Linked DNA regions of Arabidopsis thaliana. The protein of the gene in region 2 interacts with the protein of the main gene of each other region in a pairwise test. Each region holds a gene or a part of one and is shown on either strand. Other genes may lie near its edges.

Region 1 (5,415 bases), on a different chromosome or scaffold from region 2:
TATTACTCTCTTTGGAATGACTAGTGTATCTGTTGCATTGTTTCTAATATTGGAATGAAGAGGAATTCTGTGCTTAAGCAGTGAGGTTGCTATATTCATAATGTTTAAGCTTTCGTGTTTGATCTTACTCTATTCGTTCCATTGATAAGAGATCCTTTTATGTCTTAAACCTGAGAAAGTCGTGAAGGTTCATTGTAGCTGCTGTTTATGCTTGTTGAATATCTGTGGATGTTATCTATACTTAGCAAATTTCTTCAGATTTTGATCAGTGCTGGCAGGTGAAACTTTCTGGTGGGAGTTTATGCATCGTGTGATATGTCTCTAGGTTATTCAGTTTTGTTGTTTTCTTTTCTCGACAGAAAGTTTGCGTTGGTCAGTTCGAAGGCGAATCTTAAAAATTTGTTCATACCATCATGATCTTTATTTATTGATCATGAGTTTCTAGTATTATTGAGATATTAGATGTGATCTCCATGAAAGGGGATATGATAGGTAAGCTTTTTTGCATTGTTACTTGCACAAAACATATCATTCTATTAGGGCCGTGACTTTCACTTACTATTTAAACTATCGAGCTAAAGGATAGCGAAAAAATGAACATGCTTCATTAATATACCAAAAAAAGCGAACAACTCGGTTGTACACTGACTCACTTTATTGCTGCATAATAAAAGACTGCACTCTCACTACCTATGTCTCTTTTCCAAAACGCTACACTAAATCCAAAACCATTTGTGTACTTCTGAATCTTGATCTACCTTAAATTGCTTTTACTCAATCTAAGCTTCCGTAGTAGTCCCAGATGGAAGGGAAGGATACATCATCCTCAAAATCATAGCTTCCGAAGTTGCTGGAGTCAAATTGCATAGTTGTGGTTTCACTTCTTGGCATCTCGATCAGGGTATCCCAGCTGAAATTCTCAGTTCTGAAAGGACTTCCAGTTTCTTCTTGCTCGTTCCATGGTGGAGGGGAATGACACTCTGCTACCTCACTTGGTTCTGCTTCATTTTCATCCTTCAAGATTCCTAGTTGCTGAAGAAACTCGGTCAGGTCGATCTCTGGTTTCTTCTGATCACCACCTTCGAACATATTGTCTGTTTCTCCCTTGCTGGTCTTCTCATCAAGAAAGCTAGTATTAGTTTTTGATTCGGTGGAGGAAGAACTAGAAGAATAGGATTGAGATAAAAGTCCAGTTTTCTTGAGTTCTTCTAGTCTTTGCTGGATTATGTGAACACTAGGCTGAGCATTCACGTTTAGCATACCACATGAAGGAAACATAGATATAAACTTCCTTGAAGGTACCCATTTGAACCTCTGAGAGTTACTCAGAGAAGGTCTTGTATTCCGCTGAAGATGAGGTAAGTTGAGGTATGCGTCGTGCCCATAGAGTTTCAAGGCAGCCTCATCATAAGCCATAGCTGCTTCTTCAGCTGTAGCGAAAGAGCCAAGCCAAAGTCTTGCCCTCTTCTTGGGCTCTCTGATCTCAGCCACCCATTTGCCCCAAGTCCTTTGCCTGACTCCACGGTACTGACAAAGAGCGTTTTGTGGACCGCCTTTACCCCGAGCAGGACCCTTCTTCCATTGTTTCATTGAGGATGATTTCTCCATTTGTGTTGTAGTGGAGAAGAAGATTGATAGTGAAGAAGGAAGAAGAGGATATGATAATGGAGCTTAGAAAGAGTATGTGAGTGCTTAAATAATGTCACGGTTCGCTTCAATTCCTAGAGAATTGCTTTTTTCACCCGCGCATGTGACCGTTGCTTTTCTCATATTCTGTTATTTTCAAAAGAAAAAAAAAAAAAAAAACTTTTAACCATTTTTGATCTCAACTTCATATTTATATAATTCTTCTACCTAGGCTCAAACTAGAATAATATAATCCCTAGTTCTTGGTGTCCCCTGCATTCCAAACAGTCGCAATGCCAACCTTATTAGTTATTACACCTTTTTGATGATAGCTTAAGAAGTTAGAACAATTGCACACACACATTTTTTTTTTTTTTGGATTATTATGTTCAAAAATTTCTGTTAATCATCAGGAACTCAAATGTTTTTTTTTTTGTTTTTCTTTGTTATGACTAGCTCTAATATTTTACTTGTACATGTTACCAAGATATCTAGCGAGACAAGGTTTTTTGGGTTCCTAGAATTATTTTTCTTGAGGACACTTTAAAGCTTTAAAGCTTTTACGATATCTCATCTTTATCTTTTTGTTGTTTCCTTCTTTCGTCGGAGAATCGGAGAGCCATGCATGAGAAAAAGAGAGGCAAGAGTCACGAGTCGTCGCAGCACACAAGAATCACATGTTCGATCGTGAGAGTGAAGTGACGTGTTTTCTTCATTCTCGAGATTTTCAGATTTAAGCGCCGCTCCCTTCACCATTATCCCATGCTTCTTCCTTCCTCTCTTACCATCACATTTAACTCACCACATTGTTCCCTAATCCCATTTATTTTAATAGTATATGACTTGTACATAATTCTACACAAATCCCAAAAAATAAAGAAAAAGTAATAACTGAACCCATTTTCTTCTGTTTCACTAAAGCAAAAACACAAACTGATTATATTTCTATTTCGTTTTTATTGATTGTTTAATCCAAAAAAAGGAGTGCTAAGCCTAATAAATTTATCTCTGTATTGACACATTTGTCACCAGATACTAAGCTTTTGCTTTAGCCATTAAACAATTGTTCTTCATCCTAAATCAAAAAGCAAGCTCTACCTCTACTGTCTTTTTTTTTTGTTGCTAATAGTAGCTAGAGATTCCATAACCAGTTACCAAAACATATTTGGTCTTTACATTTTACATGATATTTAGAATCCCTGTGAAAACTAATCCTTCATTCGCTACCACATATCTAACATACCGATTGGCACGTGAGAGAACAAACCAAAAGTCCCAATTATCGCAATGAATAAATGGGCTTAGCTCATTCACAACTATGCTAAAGCCCAAAGGCCCATACAATCCCAATCTTGTTGCGTCGTATTAAACCTTCTCCTTCTCCGACGAAACAATCACACACTCCGGCGGCAATAAACGCTTCTTCATGGAACCAATCCCAAATGATCTCATTCTCGAGATCTTCTCGAGATTGCCGGCGAAGTCAGTCATTGGATTTCGTACCTTGTCGAAGCACTGGGCGTCTATGCTTCGCAGTCCAGTTTTCACCGAGCTCTTCCTGACCAGATCCTCGAATCGTCCACGTCTGCTGTTTGCTGCCGAACGAAATGGTGAGTGGCTCTTCTTCTCGTCGCCGCAGCCACAGAATCGATATGAGAAGTCTTCTCATTTGGATTATCATACAAAATTCTCAGGAGACGTAAGCCGATTCATTTGTAGCTATGTCTCAGGTTTGCTCTGTTTCCCTGATTTGTGGCTCTCAAAAGATGCATCGCCTGTGATTTGTAACCCTACCACAGGAATGTATGAGAGCTTACCTGATCTGATGAGGTACAAAAATGCTCGAGGCTTTCTAGGGTTTGATCCCATTGGTAAGCAATTCAAGGTATTGTCTGAGGCTTATCCATTTTCTGATCAAAGGGAACATCATGAGATTCTGACATTAGGAACTGAGGAACTGAGCTGGAGGAGTAATATCATTAGTTGTCCTGCATATGATCGTTCTTTGAGTGAAGGAATATGTATCAATGGAGTTTTGTATTACTTAGCTCAGACTCTTGGTGTACCGTCTTGTGTGATCATTTGCTTTGATGTAAGGTCTGAGGAATTTAAGTATTTTGACGCAGGATGCTTTAATGATCAACTTGATGATACTAGTGGGTTGATTTTGGTAAACTATGAGGGTAAATTAAGTGGGATTAATTGGAAGTATGGTCAAGCTGGTGAAAGGCGCACCGTTGAGTTGCGTATGTGGGTTCTAGAGGATGCCGAGAAGCATGAATGGGTTAAATATGTGTACACTCTGCCGGAGAATGAAGTCCTTGATTCCTGCGACTTTTCAGTTGCTGGAGTGACTACTAGAGGTGATATTGTTTTGTGTATGAAATATACATGTAAACCGTTTTATGTGTTCTACTTCAATCCCGAGAGGAACACTCTCCAGAGCGTTGAAATCCAAGATTTTGGAGCTAACCTTGAAGCGGTTGAGAATTGTGGTAGAGTTTATGCTTTTGTTAACCATGTAGAGGATCTTCGGGTTAACAAAGGGAAGCAACTCAAGTCAAGCATCTCTCAAGTCAAGCATCTCTGCTCATGCTGTAACAAAGTATCGCAGCCTGATTATCATTACCAAAAGGCTTAAACCAAAGGGAGAGAAGAAATGAAAGAGACAGTAGGGAAGAAAAGAGACAAGGGATGAGGTAAAAAGCAGTAGGGCATGTCATATATGTGTTTATGTTCTTTAGTTATAGACGTTGGAAGATCTGTGAGTATGAATCAAATCTAGCTTTGGTAGTGTATTACAAATATTTTGAAGTGAATCGTATTGTAGCATTGTTGACCTTTTTTTGGTTAATCAATTTTTCCTATAGTTTAATGATATCTTCTACCCGAAATTAAAGTGCAATTTCTACTGTCTATTAAATTTCTGTACTCTGGTATCATTATTTTGTATTTTAAAAAGTAGCTGGAGATTCTATACCCAAACTTATTTGGTCTTTGCATTTCACATAATTTTATAGAATCTCTACGAAAAGTTAGGCCAATACCATCGTTTGCTTGCTAGCACACATACGGACTTCATTGGCACATGAGAGAACAAACCATAAATTACGACAATGAATAAATGAGCTCATTCACAATTACGCTAAAGCCCAAAGGCCCATCAAATTCACTGTCTATTTCTTTCGTTTTTTTTTTTTTTTTTCCCTAAAAGTTATCTTTCATTCATTCATGTCATTGTGTTCTTACAAAAAGTGTTTGAGTGGTCTAACCACTTACAAACCTTTGATTCAAACATAACAAGATGATCTTAGAAGTAAAACGAGAAACATGAAATAATAAACCTGAAACTTAACAAAGTTAAGGATATGTCAGAACCAAAAAAACATATCCAACTACTTGAAGCTGCTATCCTAGATTCCCTGTAGTCTTCAACAAAAATTGACAGAAGTCTTGTTAGAGTGGTTATCTCTTTTTGGGAGGTTTCAGACTCTCTCCCATTCTTGAAGCACTGTGTAGACGAGTTTGAAGTCTAGGATCCTCTGCTTCTCTTCTTACTTCCTGTCTTCTTGAGGATTGACCGACTTCAAAGACTCTGTTGTTATCATGATTAGGAGTGTCTGCTCTTGTTGGAGTGGTACTAGAACTCGATGACCATTGTTGTCTTGCAGTACTAGATTCTCCAACATGTAATGTATGAGTATCTCTAACTGATGCATAGTATGGATACGCAGCTCTCAATTCTTCAGGATTCAGTGGTGGATGAGCAATTCTAGGAGGCGGTGTCAC
Region 2 (5,713 bases):
TACAAATAACCATGTGTGGTATCCAGTACCGATGACCCGCGAGAAGACACAAGAATTCAGCTTTTTCAGTAATGGAGCTGAAACAAAGAGCAGCAACAACAGATTCGTCCCTGAAACGTATCTTAACCTGCAAGCAAACCCTGCAGCCATGGCAAGATCTATGAACTTCAGAGAGAGCATATAACGTTAAAGGAGAAAAGAAACTTTGTAGATACCTTTTTTTGTGTGATGAATTAACTTTTAATATCTATCTTATTTATATACCACAATCCCCATTTTGTAGATTATCCAAACAGATGGAAATGCTGAAGTGTAATGTCTTTTTTGGTAAATGTGGTTCGAAAATATTGTTTACTCCATTATTTGTATTTTGTAGTACTAGTGTATAAATTAATTGGAAAAAAAACATATGTGTGAATTTTCATGTAAAGGAGAAAAAGTAGAGAATCTTAACTTGGAGTCCTTGGTACAGAATCCATCTGATTGGTACAAACTAAAAGCTAAAGGAGAAACATAAAAGTCTCTTTCTTTGAAAATAAAATAAGTCTCTTCATTTGCGTATAAAGGGAAACAATAAGAAGAAAACACTTTAAGCACTTTTTTCCCCCTCTCTTTAAGCACTTTACTTTGGGAGAATTACTAAAATGAGTGGAAAAATGTTAATTAGTTTTAGAATAGTTTTTATCTTTTCGAAAATCACTTAATATTGACTTCACTCGGATGTTTGTTCCCAAAAAGAGAGACTCGAGAACATCTCCGAAATAGATTGGGCCTATTGAAGCAATTTCAGACCCAATGGGTAAATTAAAAATCTTCTCTACAACAACCTTTCAAAATCCGAAAAACCCATACATTTATCCACGTTATATATTATTTTAAAAACTCATATTCAAAACCAAAACTAATTTTTTTCCTTTTTTTTTAACCCAACCAAAACTATACAAAAGAACAATTCAATTTAAATTTTTCTTTTATATCTACAACATGGAAAGAATTACAAGAAAGAAGGGCATGTGTGGGTCCGCGTGACATGAGAGAGATACATAGGTAAGAAGCTTGAAGAGTTGGAAAAACGGTTTGAAGAGAAGAAACAAATGCAATGTGTGTGTGAGATTTGGTGAGCATGTTTCATGTTTGGCCTTTCTGTTGCACAATCTCTGCCTCAATTTTGGCAGTTCCTCTTCTCTTAATTACGCATCTTCGTCTCTTTCTCCAACTCCTAGAAACTCCACTCTTTTTAATTTCCCTTCTCTCTCTCTCTCTCTCGTTGTTATTCTCAACACGTCTTTAGCAATATTTCACGTCACTTCATCATAAAAGAATCAACTTTTTAAAACCAATCTCTCTTTGTTAAATATTTCTGAACGAGTACTACTAAAAACAATGACTTATCAAATGTTACACTAGACAACCAAGTGCCAACAACAACAATCTACAGTTTAGTAATTAACGTAAACGCAAGGACAAAGGCTAGGATCTGGTTTGTTTGTTTTCTAGCTACTAAAGCTAAATGCTATTTTTTTTGTAACCAAATTTAACCACTGTCGTTATCTGATTAACACCAATTTGTTCAACATTCACGCCGTCCCCAAGCCAAGAAAATCGAAAAAATGTGGTTGCTGCTTAGCCTTTTCGAACACCTCCTCATCTACCGCGTCCATTCCGATCCAATGCATTGCATCATTTGGCTCCGGTTTCTCTTGGTTACTAGGGTCAATGTGCGGAATATTGCATAACGCGTCTGACGTGGCACCAACGTTATCGCCGACCATCATTTGGTTGCCAAACATACTCACAACCATCGGAGGTTCATTGTTCTCATAACCTGAACGTTGTAGATATAACAAAAACCAAAAAAGAGTTCAAAATATGCAAAAGACAATTGAAAAAACTATTGAAAGAGGAGGAAGAGCTATAGGCTACCTTGAAAGCAATGGAAAGGCAACACAAGCTGGTTATGGTCACTCGTGATAGGGGCATTATTAACCAGGTGATGAGTCAAATTAAACTCGGGGAAAGGCTGAGCGAAGTAATGATTAGTGGAGATAAAAGAGTGGTAATTAGGGTTAGGGTTAGGATGATGATTATTGGTGAGGTGAGGTTTAAGTGGATTATTACTCATAAGCTTTCTCCTACGGTAAGCAGAAGAGTGTTCTCTATACTTACGAGCCATGACAACATGCCAATGGTTCTTCACTGAATTATCAGTTCTACCAGGGAAAAGCCTCGCAATCATTGCCCATTTGTTACCATAAAGCCTATGTGCTTGCATCAGCCTCTCCTCTTCTTCTTCTGTGAAAGCTCTTCGGTTTATCCTCGGGTCCAATTGGTTAAACCATCGTAGTCTACAGCTCTTCCCTTTAAAAACAATCAAGATTAAGTTAATAAAACTCAAAAAAAATTACGTTAGGACTTAGATTGGACATAGAAGGCTAAAGACCAAGAAAACTAATAAAAACAAAAATTGATTTTATCACCGGATCTTAAGAACTTGACAGATCCAGATGAATCAAACAAACTGGTTTTGATGAAATTTTGAAGATCTATAAGGTTTTGATTTAACTTGCTGTCAAAAGAAATAGAAAATAAATAAGGTTTTGATTTAACTTACCAGATCTTCCTTGAAGCTTTTCAGCTATGAGGTTCCAGTTTTGTGGGCCGTAAATGGAGACAAGCTCTTTGAGTTTAACATCTTCAGCTGGTCTCCAATGTCCTCTCCCCAAGACCGATGGTTTTGAAGACGACGAGGACCAAGACTGACCACTATCTGTTGTCTCCTTCTTACCACTCTCGCTGTTACTGAAATTAGGGTTATTATTATTACTCTCTTCTTCGTGAACCGCTACATCTCCAAGAGGACTCTTCAAGATTTCAAACTCATGACTTGTGTTGCAGTGACGATGATGATGCTGATGAATATTAATGTCGTTGAAAGGGAAGTCCCAAGAAGAAGAAGCTCTTCTTGCGACGATCTCATCCATCCACACTTGTTTTTCCGTTATAAACATGGAGTTAGTGTTGGGAGAAAGGAAGAAGAAGAGAAGTGTTATTGAGAATTAAGAGAGATGTCACGTCAGCTTATAGACATATACCATCGGAGGAGAAAGACTTATGTGAGTGCATTTGCATATTATATATACACGTACGTAAATGTGTGTCATAAATATTATTTTTTAAAAATAATAGAATATCTTTTGTATATAATGGTGTGTTTGTTACGTATGGCTTTAGGTATGTGCGTGTATGTACATGTCGCGACCGTGTTTTCTGACGACTGTTAAAAAGGGTTATGGACCGTCGTCACGGACTAATTCAAACGACAGAGTTCTTTGCATTTATACATTATTATATATATTACATATACACTACTGTAATAAGTAAGTACAAATGTGTATTATCGATATTCGATTTTGCTGTGGACTGTTATACATTTGTTCAGGTGTACCTAGTTTCATAGAAGTTAAAGAGTTTTTCTGATAAATCATTTATTAAATTTAAAAGTAACTAAGATTTGAAGACCAAGTTTTTTTCCATGTCCATAGATTGATAGTAATTGAAAAGTATGCAATAGTTTTATAGTCGTATTAGGGTTCATAATCAAACGATAACATTAATTACGCTGCTTCTCTATGGTTCCTTATACAAATTTCCTACTTTTATGAATAATTAATGTTTATCTTAGTTTGATGTATAAGATAGTATTTCCTCTTTTATTTAATGAAAACCAATGGATTATGACAAAATAAATTAATGTTGGGAGTGTCGACCTAAAAAACAATGAATGTAGAGAATATCTTGGACGAGTCCGAAATGAATCTTACCGTTATTAGGTGAAATTTATCCTCTATTAATCAATGCATGTTTTATAGGTGCAAGGTGAAAATAATAAAAGCTAATGAGATGAAAGAAAAAAAGCTGAAGCAGAACTAACTACCAAAAAAGGATGAAGGCAAAAAGAGAGTTTACCATTGGGGAATGAGTCGGGTCTCTTCTTAGCACAACCAATTCTCAGACAGCTTTTTCTTTCATTTCATTTTGGGTTCCTTAAAATTTACCTCTTTCTCTCTTAATCTCCACTTGTCTTTCATTCCTTTACTTTTTACTACCATTTTTGTTTCTGTGAAACCCTCTCTTATCTTAAAAAATTAACCACAATCTTTTTTCTTCATTCAATTTTTTTCTTAATTAAACATCGCTTCAATATACTCATTTTCTCCTTGTCATGTTGTATCAAATAATCTTGAAATTTTGACTGTTTTATTCTTTGTAGCAGTCTCATGGTTTTTAATAACGAGATATTACAATGCCAATTCAAAAAAACTCTCAACCCTAAATATCCCACATACATGAGGAATGTGGCCGTGTGGAAGTGTGTATAAGTAATGAGAATGAACAGTAAAAATGTAAAGAAATAACTTTTAAGACCTTTTCGTATTTGACCAGAAATCCCAATTGGCAGACGTAACCATTAAATATGGGATAAATACAGATACAAAAGGGGTCTCAGAACTGTACGATCCTCTGCACAGAGATTTAACCGAACGCACTACAAACTCTCTTTCTCTTCGTCATATTTTCTTTTTAATTGGTCAATCACTTTGAAATACACATTAATATTATATATGAAATATGAAATAAAAGGTTGGGTGAAGAAGTATATATGAACTATATAATTTTATGAAACAGAAAGTTATGCAGCTTTATTTAATTTTATATTTTGCAGAACAAACATTTATAAAAATTGTAATCAGTTTTTTTTTACCGTTTAAAATGAAATGATGAAATAAAATATGGTGAAACACACTATTAATTATGTTTGTTTGTAAGTAGAGCCACTAGCTAAAGTGGGACTTCGATTTGGTTGTTCTTTTGTTTTGGGCTATGAATCTATCTTGTTACTTTGTTTATATCCAGTAGACTAGTACTAGATTTTCGATTCTTTCGTCTAAAATACTAAGTTATTAAAAACATATGTTCTATTTACACATGGAATTATTTATAAACATGTTAAATATTTAAACATACCTTGAAAAGTAAGAAGAGAGTCTAACTTGGAAGATTAAAGGAGTTTGATGTTACTGCTTGATCGAGTGTAGTAGCTTGTTTTAGGGAGTGACTAACAGAATAAGCAACTAAATTACTCTGGAAACAGATGTATGTAAAGCTCATATAGTGAGGGGACAAAAATTATCTGAGGTATAAAATAGATTGCGATCTCATGGTCAATCCGTTTCGGTGGATATATTAGCTACGGTCCATGCGTGACTCAGTCCAAAATTGATTACAAGCTTGAACATACCTTTTTCAACATAGCATTAATATATACTTTTGTCAGTTTGTCACAAAAATACATCAAATGTGTAATAAGGAATCACTAAAACGTTGGAATTAATCCAAAGCTCAATTTTACTCGTCTGACATAATCTAATTTTTATTTTCTCGACCATTCTTTGACCCCATAGCCCATTTAAATTTCACCTAATTCACTTTTCTTGGAATTCTTTATGTCCGTCTACAAATTTTATCAACCTTAGTTATTCATGTGTTACAATGTCCCCTTGTACGATAATGTTTAATTTTGTTACACGTTTGGTCAGGTTTGTGTTTTACTCGAAAGAAAAGTTCGCTTTCAAATAGACTCTTTTCTGACGTGGCATCCATCTATATGTAATATGTTATGTGATTAGTGATCTTAGACTAAGAATAAAAAAGC
Region 3 (7,195 bases), on a different chromosome or scaffold from region 2:
GATCAAAGATTAATTTTGGGGCTGAGAAGTAATATTAATAAAGACAACATTGTCTATTTTATTATTTTTGTATTAATTAAATAAAGACAACATTGTGTATTTTATTATTGTTTATGTAATAATATAAAATCTATTTATTAATTCCGATCTACATACCCTATTTTTTTCCGAGCTACATTCCCCACTCCCAAATTTTACATTATTTTTATTTTGGTCAAAGACATTTATTTAAATTTTATTTTATTTTTAAAAGTGTCGACGAAAAAAACATGTATTTTTTTTTTTTAACATATTCATTTCCATTAATATTACGAAAAAAAAACATGTTTTTATACGTAGGCTGAGGCATCCAAATTGATCCACAAATTTGGTTTTTGTTTTCAATTAACTTGACCTTAAAGATAAAAGTTAAAAGTTAAAACATTCAGGTCCATCTTGTATTGTACAGAAATAGCATGCCTGGCCCATTAAAGGATAGTGGGCTTTTATAGTAACCTAGGGGAAATGAGATTTGAAGTTTTCAACGATCATCACATTCACGTATTTTGAAAGTTTTTTTCACGATATACACCAGAAATAGATATTTTGAAAGAGAAAGCTACTAAAAAACGGAAAACATTTTGCCTTTTATCACTCAAAAAAATAAAAAATTCATCAAATTTTTAATTATTTTATTGTTTTTATGTGTGATTCTAGATGTAAGAATTAAGAAACGAACCAATATTAATCGGATTCGTTATCTTTGAATATTTTTGCGTTAAGCACGTCGTACTAGCTAGCGAATACGTTTACCGCAACTGTAATCTAATTCGTCACAGAATATCAATGATGTGGTATAATCAACTATAATCTTCTTTTTTCTTTGGGCAAAATCAACTATAATCTATGAATATATACTTACTAATATAGGTGATAGACATATATTATTTAAAATAATCTAAGAAAACATGCAAATACGGTTACATCGACCGGTTAGAAAGGGAAAAAACTTTAAAATTAGTACTTTCGTATCATATTCAAGTCAGTATATATTAGGATTTTGCCACATTACATATATTATTAAAGATTGTTAATAATTAGGATTAAAAAGACTAGTATGAGAGTTAAGTCAAGTTTAAATTTGTTTTTCTCATTGAGAAAAAGGGAACTGATTTCTTACAACATACAACTGTTCATGCTGGTCATATCTGACAAAATCACGGGAACAACTGCTCTTACCAAATATTGCACGTCCTATGCTTTTTTTTTTTGTCAAACCCTAATTAGTCTTATATTTACAAAGACAAAAAACTAGCTAACATCTTTTATCTTTATATATTTCTATCTCAAAATTAGTTGTTGAATTCTTAAGAGTTAGTGGATTGTTTATCTATAAAGTCGCACTAACAGGTAACTAAAATTAAACATCTTGGATCTAATGCATGTAAATGACAATGCAAAATGAATTCTAATAAGTGATGAATAAACAACAAAAAATATCAACATTCAATTTGAAATTTTGAAATGGAATGAAGACCAAATTAAATATCACTAGGTTGGATTTACGGTTACTATTGTTATGGTTTAGTTAGTGTTTGGTTTTAGTCTGGTTTCGGTTAGGGCTCGTACATGAAAATCTAATCCAATAAGTTTATTTCTTCTTTGGTTTGTTTGAGAACTTTTGATACGGATTGCACTCCTTAGTCATTTTGTATTCATATATTACAGTGAATTTTTTTTTTTTAACTACGTTGAATCTAGCTTAAAGAAATTAACTTTAACACAAGAAAAAAAAAACTACTTAATTGACTATATATGTTGAGAATCAGTTCCATTACATAAACTCGCAGTAATCAATCATTGTCTATCGCCATAACAATATATAAGGAGTATGAAAATATGGCAAAGCAGCATTAATAATTATTGTCATGGATAATAATCATGATCTAATTAAATTACTTAAAAGGAATATTAGTATAGTGATCTCTGTTTCCATCTGGTACTATTGGATTCCACATATCCCACAAAGCATTGTTTGGAATCGTTCCTGCAGGAATCATGTTCATAGCTAACGCCGCTTGAGTTTGAGGCATTAGCGTTGTCGCTGTAGTCGCCGCAGCCACCAATTGTAATGCGTTTGCGTTAGCATTTTGTTGTTGAGTATGATGAAACTGTTGAGCAATTTGAAAGTATTGGTGATTGATGTTACCTCCATCTGATATTTGGTAGTTAACTAGTCTTTGAAGATCGTCAACAATGGCAGTTTCATCATCGTCTTGATGATTTCTCGTAGAGACTATCAATGTGTTGTTGCTTGTGTCGTAAGGCATTGGACGATATATGTTTTGATTGGCTAGAGCAATGGTAACGTCAGAGTTACTGTTTGTGGTCGTTGTTGTTGTGCTGCCGTCGCCGGAATATTCGGTGGAGAGCTTCTCGAGATTGTTGATGTTGTTGTTGTTGTTAAGGTTGTTGTCGGAATGATTAGAGGAGGATGAATGGTGTTGTTGTTGTCTTAAGGCTAAACGGGATGATGTCGATGAGTTATGGTTATGATGTCTTGTGGAGAGAGAACGTGGTACCGATGGATGATCTTCTACTCCTGGCCTTTTGTACACTCGGCACAATGATATTTCAGCCTATAATTATACATGAGCACATTGATTAGAGACTTGATACATATATCAAATTATCAAATATAGACTAACAATATCTATGAAAAATATCATTTATCGAAGATATGGTTTTGAAAGAAGATTCACAAACTATGTAAAGTTAGCATTAGCAAAAAAAGATAGCACGTTTAGAAGAAATTTAGAGTACTATCATATGACGTAACAATGCAAATATAATTAAGATGATTATATTTATTATTTTTTATATATTTAATTGCGTAATTTTAGTTTTATTAGTACAAGTGAATGTGCAATACATACACATAGATAATTATGTCAACCCTGTTGTTTTAGCTGTCTTATGCATACATCATAATATCATATATATACATAGAAAATTTTATAAATTTATGGTTTCAAATGGTGACGACATATAAGTCGAAAGAGCCCAAAAAATGTATTTATCTATCCATTGTCATTTTCCGTATACATAATATTTTTTCGGTCTACTCCATAAACCGTTATCATTCGTATAGATTTTAAATGTTCGCATATAAATATGTTGGTATAATTCATATATGCCAAATTATTTCAAAAAATGTTGGGTAACTTAAATAGAAGACATGAATTAATGTGAGGAAGAGCAGGAACATTCATGTCATAAATTGTAAGAAAAACTAACTATGTCTCTGCAGAATTAAGGTATATGAATGTCGAGTGTGATACTTGTGTGTTTATATATATGTGTATGCATCTATCTATTAATGTATTCTACTATAACATATGGGCCATGTCTAGCAATTTAAAGAGTTCACGCATATGACATGAACATTTTTCTGGATTTAAGCGCAAACGCCGCCTGACATTTAGTCCATTCACAAGTATTTTTGATCTTATCGAATCAATTCCAAAATAAATAAATAAAACTAGTCAAAAAAGAAAAAATTCAAACTGTCTAGGGATTAATTTCAATTTTAAAGGCCTCACCACCTAGCTAGGGTTATATCTATGTATGTATGAATAGGATATATATAGAGTTATAGTAGAATTTATACCTTTTGGTACTTCTCGGTTTCATGGTGCGGAAGACGATACTCGTTCATGATCCAACTAGTACGAGTGCCTTTAGGGGCTTTACCAGAGTAGAAAACTAGGGTTTTCTTTAATCCGATAGGCCGAGAAGTCTCCGATCTGATCATCCTATCAGCTCCGGTGGCTTTCCAATATCCTGAAGTCGTTACTCGGTTCGGTCTATCTCCATTTCTATATTTCCGATCTCTTGGCACATAGAAGTACCACTCTTTCTCTCCTATCGCCGCCATAGCTGCATATACATATATCTATGATTAAACATACATAAGCTAATTATGAAAACATACACATATTTGTATATCTTATGATATATATGTAGGTTGTTTAATTAGGTTAATTTAAGAAAGAAACTAAAGAGGGAGAAGCGTTTAAAGATATTGAGAATTGTTAACGATCGACATAGTAATACTTCATAAGGAGGTAGGTACATATATAGGTTAAAAAAAAAGAAATAGAGAGAGAAAGTGATAAGAGAGAAGAAAGATCTTAACATATGAATAGAAATTAAGATTTCCAAATAGTTTGAGATGATTTATGTGTGTTTATGTGAATGTATATTTACCAGGAAGTTCCCAAGGATCATAGCGATAAAGATCGAGGAAAGTGATGAGTTCTACATTAAAGCGTTTGCCTTCAACTTTTCGGCGAAGGTAAAACTCTATGAGTTCTTCTTCGGTAGGATGGAATCTAAATCCGGGCATGACCATGTCATGATCATGATCATCAGCTTCATCTTCATTTTGGACATGACTCTCTTGGCCGCCTCTATGATCATTGTCTTCTATACCTTTTTCGTTATTGTTGACTTGGTTACTCATGGGAATGATGCTTGTTGTGGAGGATACAATTGCCATATATCAAAAAGACTAGATATGTGTATGCATGTGGATTAAGGTGATATATGATGATGAAAAGTGATTAAGGGTTTGCTTGGTTTTTATACTAACAATGGAAGGGAAAAAGAGAGATGAAATTGAGTGGTGTTGAGTAGAGATAAGAGGAGGAGAAGAAGAAGAGAGGACGACTATATAGGAATGAAACGTCATCGTTTTTGGGAGTTGAGACCAAACTAGAATAAGACAAAGAGAGAGAAGAAGAGAGTTAAGGAGGAGACAAAGACTTGTCAAATTGAGGACAGGGTGTCCACGGTTTTGTTTTCTTAGCCGTGCCTTTGGACCTTTCTCTCACTCTCCATTTCTAGCTTTTTGTTTCAAAATAAAATAAAATATCTATCTATTAGTTTTATGTATTTTTTCTAAATACTAAAGTTTCAAATATTTAATAATTATTGGGTTGTAACACAAATGAAAAGAACAGTTGATATCTTTTACAGGAAAAATTAAAGTTTATGTATTATAAACGAAAAAATATTTTGAAACAATATTACGAATTGACATCTTTCAAATGGATGTCATGGACCTCATGGTTACTAGTTCAATTATACTTGGAAAAAATAATAATTAATGTTTTAAATGCAATATCAACAATTGGTGTGGACATACGAAAAATATAGACCGAAAGTCTAAAATTCCCAAAAACTATCATTCTTAGAAAAAATATATCATGGTTTTCTTTATAGTTTTATTTGCACATGCACCATCTCATGCACGTTAAAGATTCATTAGTTTTAGTTAGGTATATGATTGGTATTTTATAAAGACAATCTAAACTTTAGAGAATAACAAATTAAGTTGATTTCATGTATAATTTATGTGTAAATAGTCTATATTTTGTTTTGGTTTTTGTTCCAATCCATCGCTACAAAAATTGCGAAAGTGTAACTAATCTAATTCTCCTGATCAAGGCATAGCGATAAAGGATCCATAATAATTCATTGTTATAGGTAGACTAATTGAATAACGGATATTCTTAAAACAATGTTAAAAATTTGGATTATTATAGTTAATTTATTCATCGTTGAGACAAAGAATTCTGATTGGTGGCCTATATTACTAATTAAATAATAATATCACGTATGCTTACTATGTCACTCGTCATAAATATATTTACGTGTTTTTCATATGCTTCAGCTTCACGAACGTTCTCTTATTGTTTCGCTATTTTTTTTATGATATATTTGGCCCACCATATCTTCATTGCATGATACTACTATGTCTTCAATTATGAATGCAAAACAAACTGACCATGATTTTGCCAACGCTCTCCATGTTCCTATGACTTAGTAAGAAGCTGAACTTACAGTACATATGTTAGAATTTAGAAACCCGCCAGTTCTTTAAAATTTGTATTAATATATATAGATACAATATATTATATTTAGATATATGTATCTATAATCTATATGTATAATTGTTCCATTTTATTAATAATTCAAAAAAGTAAATAAGATATAGACACAAAACAATAAACATCGTAACAACATTAGCATATATATATATATATATAGCTGAGCTAAAAAGGCTAGGCAAACTGTAATATATTTAAGTTCATCATGGAAAGATAGATAAAATATATACTAAGTACAAATTTCATACTTACAAGTTTATATGGAAAAATGAATTTAAAGTATCAACGTAAATGAGATAATGAATGAAATTAAAGTGAGGTGGTAGTGGGGCTTCTACGAAACGAGAGTGGGGTTTTTAGAAACCTTACTCTACGTTGTAATGACTTCATATTTTATATTTTTATTTTGTCAAATGTTTCAATGGATGTCATGGACTTCATATTTTTTAGAAATCCGTGAATGCATATATCTCATTCACAACAAATTTCATTGGATTGAGCTCAGTGTAGACAGACATTTTTCAATATGGATGTCGCGTACCAAAAAAGCTTATGAAACGTGGAAAAGATAAACTATTCAACAACCATTAATTAGACCATTGCGATATCAGAAAATGAACTTTTTTGTGTTGTTAATTCGAATCTTCGTCAAGAAAATTATCTAGTTACATGATTTTTTTTGTTTTTATGTTTAAACAATTTATAATATATTTACTACGAACTAATCAAATAGTAAATCAGTAGACATACACATATTTCAAAAATTATTATACCAGTTTAGTTTACATAAATGTATAGCTTTTGGATATATATTTAAGGTTTTCATTAAAATGAATGTAGGTATGAAAGGAAATATTATGTATGACATGGAATCATAGGCATGGACCCTTCGAATATTGATATCAGTAAAAATATAAAATGGCGATAGAAATTAGGAATTAAATGTATTATAAGAGAGTTTAAAAGTAGATTAAGCTAGTGCATAATTTAATGCAAGCGAGTCTTCCATCGGTTTGGCTTTTAGCTAGGGGTAGCAAGTAGGGTGGCGGATATTATATAATGTACATTCCAGAAGATTAAATCATTTTTTCAGTTTAAAGTTTTTGCAATTGTAAAAAATTAAGACCTTTTAATTTTAATTCGAAAAGAACATATATTTCTATTATTATATATATGACATATTATTAACTTATATTTTGTCTTCTGATTATTACATTTTCACATGAGTTTGTCTTCGTTAAAGTTTTAATTATTATATACTA
Region 4 (5,331 bases), about 16 Mb from region 2:
TCAACGTGTGTTTGGAGTTTGAACTATGATAGCATATTCAGTTTTGAGGATTTATAATAATTCAAACAAATTGGTAGTGACTGAATTGATCCATGTACTTATTTACTACTAAGTGAATGTTATCATTTCAAAACATTGAGTTTTCTTTTGGATTTTTTTTTTTCACATCTCTAGTCAGAGTTTAACCTAAAAGCCTTAAACAAATCTTACTCGAATATGTTAAGTTAACAATCATTGTTTCCAAAACGCCAAACTTCAAACCCCATAAACAAACAACTCATATTTGCTTCAAAAAGCATCATTGCAAAACATCCTCCGAGTAAGAGAATAAATACACCAATATATAAATGTGTATATATCTTCTATATAGACAATAATATGAAAGTAGGATATATTCTCCTCATACCTGGATGGCCAAATCACAAACTATGAATCAAATAGACACCACGGCAGGCACGCCTCCACATTCCACACACTAATTCTCAGTGTCACCTTCAATTTGCAATGTAACTACTTCAGTTTCACTACGACCCTCAATATTCATCATCATACATATTTGGTTTTGTGGGTCTTAATTGAATTTAGGGTTTGAAGAACAAATTCTAATATATGGAGCTCTAACTTAAACAAAAATGGCTTAATCTTAAAGACTAGCTCTTATGTGTAGTGCCTAATCGAAGTATGAATCTTGGATTGTAATGGGATGACCAAATATATAAACATGTTCTTATTCATCTTCAAAATATATAGTTCAAAAGGTTACAATAATACCACTTAAAAGTTGTAGCTAAAATATTACACAAACTGAATCTTAAAATGACAATTTTGATCAAGGCACAGAAGATCAATAAAGATACGTTAAAAAGGAACAGATATACATAACTATAGATTTTGTATACATTCAGAGGAATAAGGGACTATATTGGCTTACATGTTTAAACTTGATCATGCATAGTCCTTCAAAACTGTCGAGATTTATAGGAAACCTGCCAGAAACAATCAAGAGAAAGAAAACATATCATAGAATGCAAACATATATATGAACAATAATTTAGTTTACAAAAGAGTCTTGAATCCAAACTTTACCTTTGGGGAAATTTTTGTCGGTGACTACATATAAGGTTTGGTCATGAAAAGGGTTTTGATCATAACTATAATCCAAATTTTGAGGCAGAAATGTATTATAGTTGCTGCTAGAACTCTGATCTACCAACATAAGTATCCCATTATTTTGATTGTAACTTTGACCCATCTTCGTTGGTAGAGTCATATTGGTTAAGATAGATTCTTGATTATCAAACTCCTCGATTGGTTCCTTGTAGAAAAGGTGTGTCATATCTTCTCCTTCATTGAAGACTATAGACCTCTTGAATGGGTCCATGATTTCAGATTGTGTAATATCAGAGGCAGTCTCTGGATTATCATAGGCCATCATCTCTTTTGTTCGCTCCTTTGCTTTTCCTCTAGCTTTGGCTCCTAGCCCCTTTGATGAGATGTTTCTCAACTCACTCTTCTTCTTTCTTATCCCTGCCTTCGTGGCCTCACATACCACTTCTTCTTCACCGTACCCGGGGCTCAAACCATACACGAAGCTCTTATCGCCATTGTCATCCTCCTCCTTCTCCTCTTCTTGTTCTACATCGCCTCCAATGTTTCCAAAATCTTCATCATCATTGTTGAGGTTTTTTGCTTGTACGACCTCTTTGATGGCTTTTCTTGACTTCTTGAGCAGCCAGTCTAACGTTTTACTAGCTTTATCAAACCCCAACATATCCTGAAGATCAAAGAATTGGCGAGCAATCCCAATAGAAAGCCTAACCCTCCTGTCTCTAATCCCTTGTGCCGTTTGAATCTTGCTATGTCGGTCCTTCTTCACCACCTTCTTGATTTCCTTTGACACCTCAGGAAACTCAAAGCCTTGTTGATTCACAACATTATTTGACTTAAACGCCATGTAATCGATCAGAGATTCAGGAACTGCTGATACCATATGGCCCGGAGATGCTTTTAACTGATGGTTGTAGGGATTATGAATGATGTCTTGATGGCCAGAGAGTGAAGAAAGGTAAAGAGAGAGAGGGTACACTCCATTGTTATTACCATCGTTGTAGTCATTGGTGGAAGACGACATCACCGAACTTAAGAAGCTAAAAAAAACCAAGAATCAAGAATCAAGAACCAAGAATCAAGTATTAAAAATATGCCTTTTTCTTAAGAAACAAAAGCACAACTTTCACATCATCAAAAAGAGAGAATCTGGCAGAGAGAGAGAGAGATAGTAAGCGTACAATTTCTCACACCAGCAAAAAAAGAAAGAAAAGAAAAAAACTATAGAGATATTAATGGTGTAAGAGATGTGTAACAAGAAAATGGTTAAGTGTACAGTGATGAAGACATGATTTTGTGTATGTAATTGAAGATCTGCTCGCAAAAAAGCAGATCTGTTCTTCTCCTCTCTCACTCAGTTACAGGTTAATTTTTCACTAGGGTTTACAACTTTTTTCTAGGGTTTTCAATTCCAGATCTAATATCTGGTTATGAACTTATATATTGGGGATTAACCTCAAACTCAACTATTTTTAGTATCTTCTTAACATTTTACTTTTACTACGTATACATATACAAGTAGGTAACGTACCTTTCGTATGAGTGCTCCACAAAAGCAACATCTAATTAACATGGCCCATATAGTCCAAAAATAATAATTCAACAATAGAAGACGACATATGAAGGATTTGTTTCCATTTCAATGATAAACATCACGCTTTTAAGAGTCAGTATTGAAGGCGATCGATGTTCTTGAATGTATAGTATTTCACTGTTTTTATTTTTTGTCGGATCTCAGACAAGATCTGCTTTGCTTTCGTTTTGGATATAAAAAAAAACTTCTATTCTTTTGTCCAGTGGTTTCTAGTTTTTCCTACATGCCATGGAAATGGAAATTTAGATTTTTTTTGGTGGGTGAATTAGTTTTGACCGGTTAACGAAACTATAGATATGGAATAAATGTGTAGTGTACATATAACAACGTAACATAAACATTATCCCTTTATTTAGGGTTTTTGTCAAAAGAGAAAAGAGGCTTTAATGTGACCTGAGTTGGTTTCCCGTACGATTGAAGATTGTGAAAAGATTTGTCGTTTTCAATTTTCTTTTGACGTCTCTAGCTAGTAGTCAAGGGTTGTTCTAATTTACAGTGGGCGCAAATGCAATATATGCATTCATGCACCCAACTGTTTATATACAAAACCATAGAAAATATAGTTTTTTTTTTTGTTATCACATAAAAATAGTATTTTATCATTTTAGTAATTTGAAATGTGTAACAATATAAATACGACGGTTTTAAAAGATATTTGAAATGAAAAAAAAAATAAGTTGAATCATGACAAAATAAAGGAAACTATATAATTATAACGGTTTCAAGCTTAACAATTTAGGGTTGAGTAGAATTTGGGGTTTTAGATTTTAGTTCTTGGATTTAGTGTTTAGTTTTTAGAGTTTGGAGTTTATAATTTAAAGTTTATAGTTTAGATTTTAGTTAGTATTGTTAATTTATACAAATCTACACTAGTTTCTACCCTAGTAAGTTTAAGGGACGAGTGATTTCTGTTTTGGGTACTTTGAGTTTATTGGAAAAAAAAATTTTCCCCAGGAGAGCTATTTTTTACAGATATTTATACCCTAGTATTTAAATAGGCTTTTAAATCGGTCAATCTATTAAACTCATGTTAGTATAATCGCATAACCGTTTAAGGATTTTAAATCGCAATTGACTCAATTAATTGAAGTTGTCTAATTGTGATGAATTTAATAGTTTAGGTGGAATTATGAGGTTTATGATATAGTTCATGGTGAATTGGGCAGAGTCTAAAAGTACACGGTGATACGAGTTGAACACCTATAATTCGTGTCGGTTTAAACATTTTATAGGCCTTAGGGCTAATTTTTAAAATAAGTCCCTAGCAATGTAAATTGTACAGTTATTTTTTTATATAGAAACCTTTATAAATTTTTTTATATGTTATGAGTATAGGAAAATAAATTTTATGAACTTTTTTTCTCAGAAATGTTTTTTTGGGCCCTTCTTACCCATATTTTTTTATTTTGCCTTCTACCTGTACTTTGTTTTTCTTGGATATTTTTTATCCATCAATATGAGGTACTTGAATTTGAAATATTTTTAGTGGTTATTTTACGATTTTGAGGAAAATATCTGAACTAGGATTGAAGCTAAAAGGAAGGGAATATGTTCGACTATCAAATCCGGGAAGCTTAGAAAATGTGTGAGGGAAACTGGTAAATTAAAACAAGCCATCTATCAACGTAAGTCTCTAAAAAATGAAACTCCAGCAGAAGTCGCTGAGCTTTTTTTTCTTTAATAAGAAGTAAATCGAAGATAGATTTGAAAAATACGAAGTGGCGAACAGCAAATTGAGGAATTGAGGAACATGTATTTAGGATATTAGGGTTTACAGAGTACATAAAGAAAAGGAAGGAAGATAGTGAAGTCGCCCAATTATTTCACTCAACAATGGTATAAATTTCGAACACTTGTTGTAGATGGAAGTTTTGGAGAATGAGCTTTTGGTTTTGGTCAGTGGTGGAGACTGGAGACAAGAGAGTCTTCAATGGAGAGAGGTTTTTTTTTTTTTTTTATTAAACAGGAAATGGTCATTTTTGAGTTATTTGATTCTAAAGTCTCTTCAAATTTCATGTTAGAATATGTGGGTTTGTTTATGTATTAAATAGATGTATCTAAAATCTCTTAAATTCTTCGTTTAATATGTGCTTTTTAGAGACATGGATGCATTCCACCCAAAATCTATAGATCATGGGCTACCACTTTAGTTTACATATTTATATTTTATATTTTCATTTTCAAAGCAATCATCTTAAGTCTTCTAATATTGGTAACAAATTTATATCCCCAAAATCTACATCTCGCTAGGATGCTAGAACATCGTTCATTTTCATCATCGAGTATCCAAACTAGTAAGAGAAAGTCCATTTATGTCGGTTGTCAACTAAGTAGAATCTCTTACAGATGGTTAGCGAACATGTAGCAATGATATATTTGGTATAATAATCCTGAGCCTCAAATACTACAGTATTTGGTCAAGAGATTGCTTAAAAATATTGAATACAAATTTTGATTATTGAGGTAACCTGGAACGTTAAGAAAGAGAGAGTGCTCTCTGTTAACCAAGGAAAATAAGCAATTCTGGAATTAGGCATATGTCAAATGGGCTGACCCTTATATTGACAGTCCAAAACTCAAAAAGCAATTGTTTATTTTAAATATATTTAGGCCTACTCCTAGTATAATTC

The links.
Region 1: the proteins of MYB117 (region 2) and AT3G57600 interact in a two-hybrid assay, tested with the Arabidopsis thaliana proteins (one large-scale study listed by BioGRID).
Region 3: the proteins of MYB117 (region 2) and LOV1 interact in a two-hybrid assay, tested with the Arabidopsis thaliana proteins (one large-scale study listed by BioGRID).
Region 4: the proteins of MYB117 (region 2) and TCP1 interact in a two-hybrid assay, tested with the Arabidopsis thaliana proteins (one large-scale study listed by BioGRID).

What each region holds. Positions count from the first base shown.
Region 1 is NC_003074.8:21,329,034-21,334,448, reverse strand, and holds AT3G57600 (Integrase-type DNA-binding superfamily protein), read right to left. Parts: upstream 1,676-5,415; 5' UTR 1,609-1,675; coding exon 775-1,608; 3' UTR 531-774; downstream 1-530. Other genes in the region: AT3G57590 (F-box and associated interaction domains-containing protein), read left to right, coding at 3,053-4,267; AT3G57587 (Ta11-like non-LTR retrotransposon), read right to left, coding at 5,092-5,415. UniProt on the Arabidopsis thaliana protein: Transcriptional activator that binds specifically to the DNA sequence 5'-[AG]CCGAC-3'. Binding to the C-repeat/DRE element mediates high salinity-inducible transcription.
Region 2 is NC_003070.9:9,268,328-9,274,040, reverse strand, and holds MYB117 (myb domain protein 117), read right to left. Parts: upstream 3,090-5,713; 5' UTR 3,009-3,089; coding exon 2,612-3,008; intron 2,359-2,611; coding exon 1,924-2,358; coding exon of another isoform or gene 1,913-1,923; intron 1,826-1,912; coding exon 1,578-1,825; 3' UTR 1,328-1,577; downstream 1-1,327. Other genes in the region: AT1G26790 (Dof-type zinc finger DNA-binding family protein), read left to right, coding at 1-184. UniProt on the Arabidopsis thaliana protein: Probable transcription factor that involved in boundary specification, meristem initiation and maintenance, and organ patterning.
Region 3 is NC_003071.7:645,389-652,583, reverse strand, and holds LOV1 (NAC domain containing protein 35), read right to left. Parts: upstream 5,047-7,195; 5' UTR 4,580-5,046; coding exon of another isoform or gene 4,541-4,579; coding exon 4,249-4,540; intron 4,107-4,248; exon of another isoform or gene 3,919-4,106; coding exon 3,650-3,918; intron 2,619-3,649; coding exon 1,935-2,618; 3' UTR 1,764-1,934; downstream 1-1,763. Other genes in the region: AT2G02455 (uncharacterized protein), read left to right, coding at 4,367-4,579. UniProt on the Arabidopsis thaliana protein: Transcription factor that acts as a floral repressor. Controls flowering time by negatively regulating CONSTANS (CO) expression in a GIGANTEA (GI)-independent manner.
Region 4 is NC_003070.9:25,167,177-25,172,507, forward strand, and holds TCP1 (TCP family transcription factor), read right to left. Parts: upstream 2,132-5,331; coding exon 1,052-2,131; downstream 1-1,051.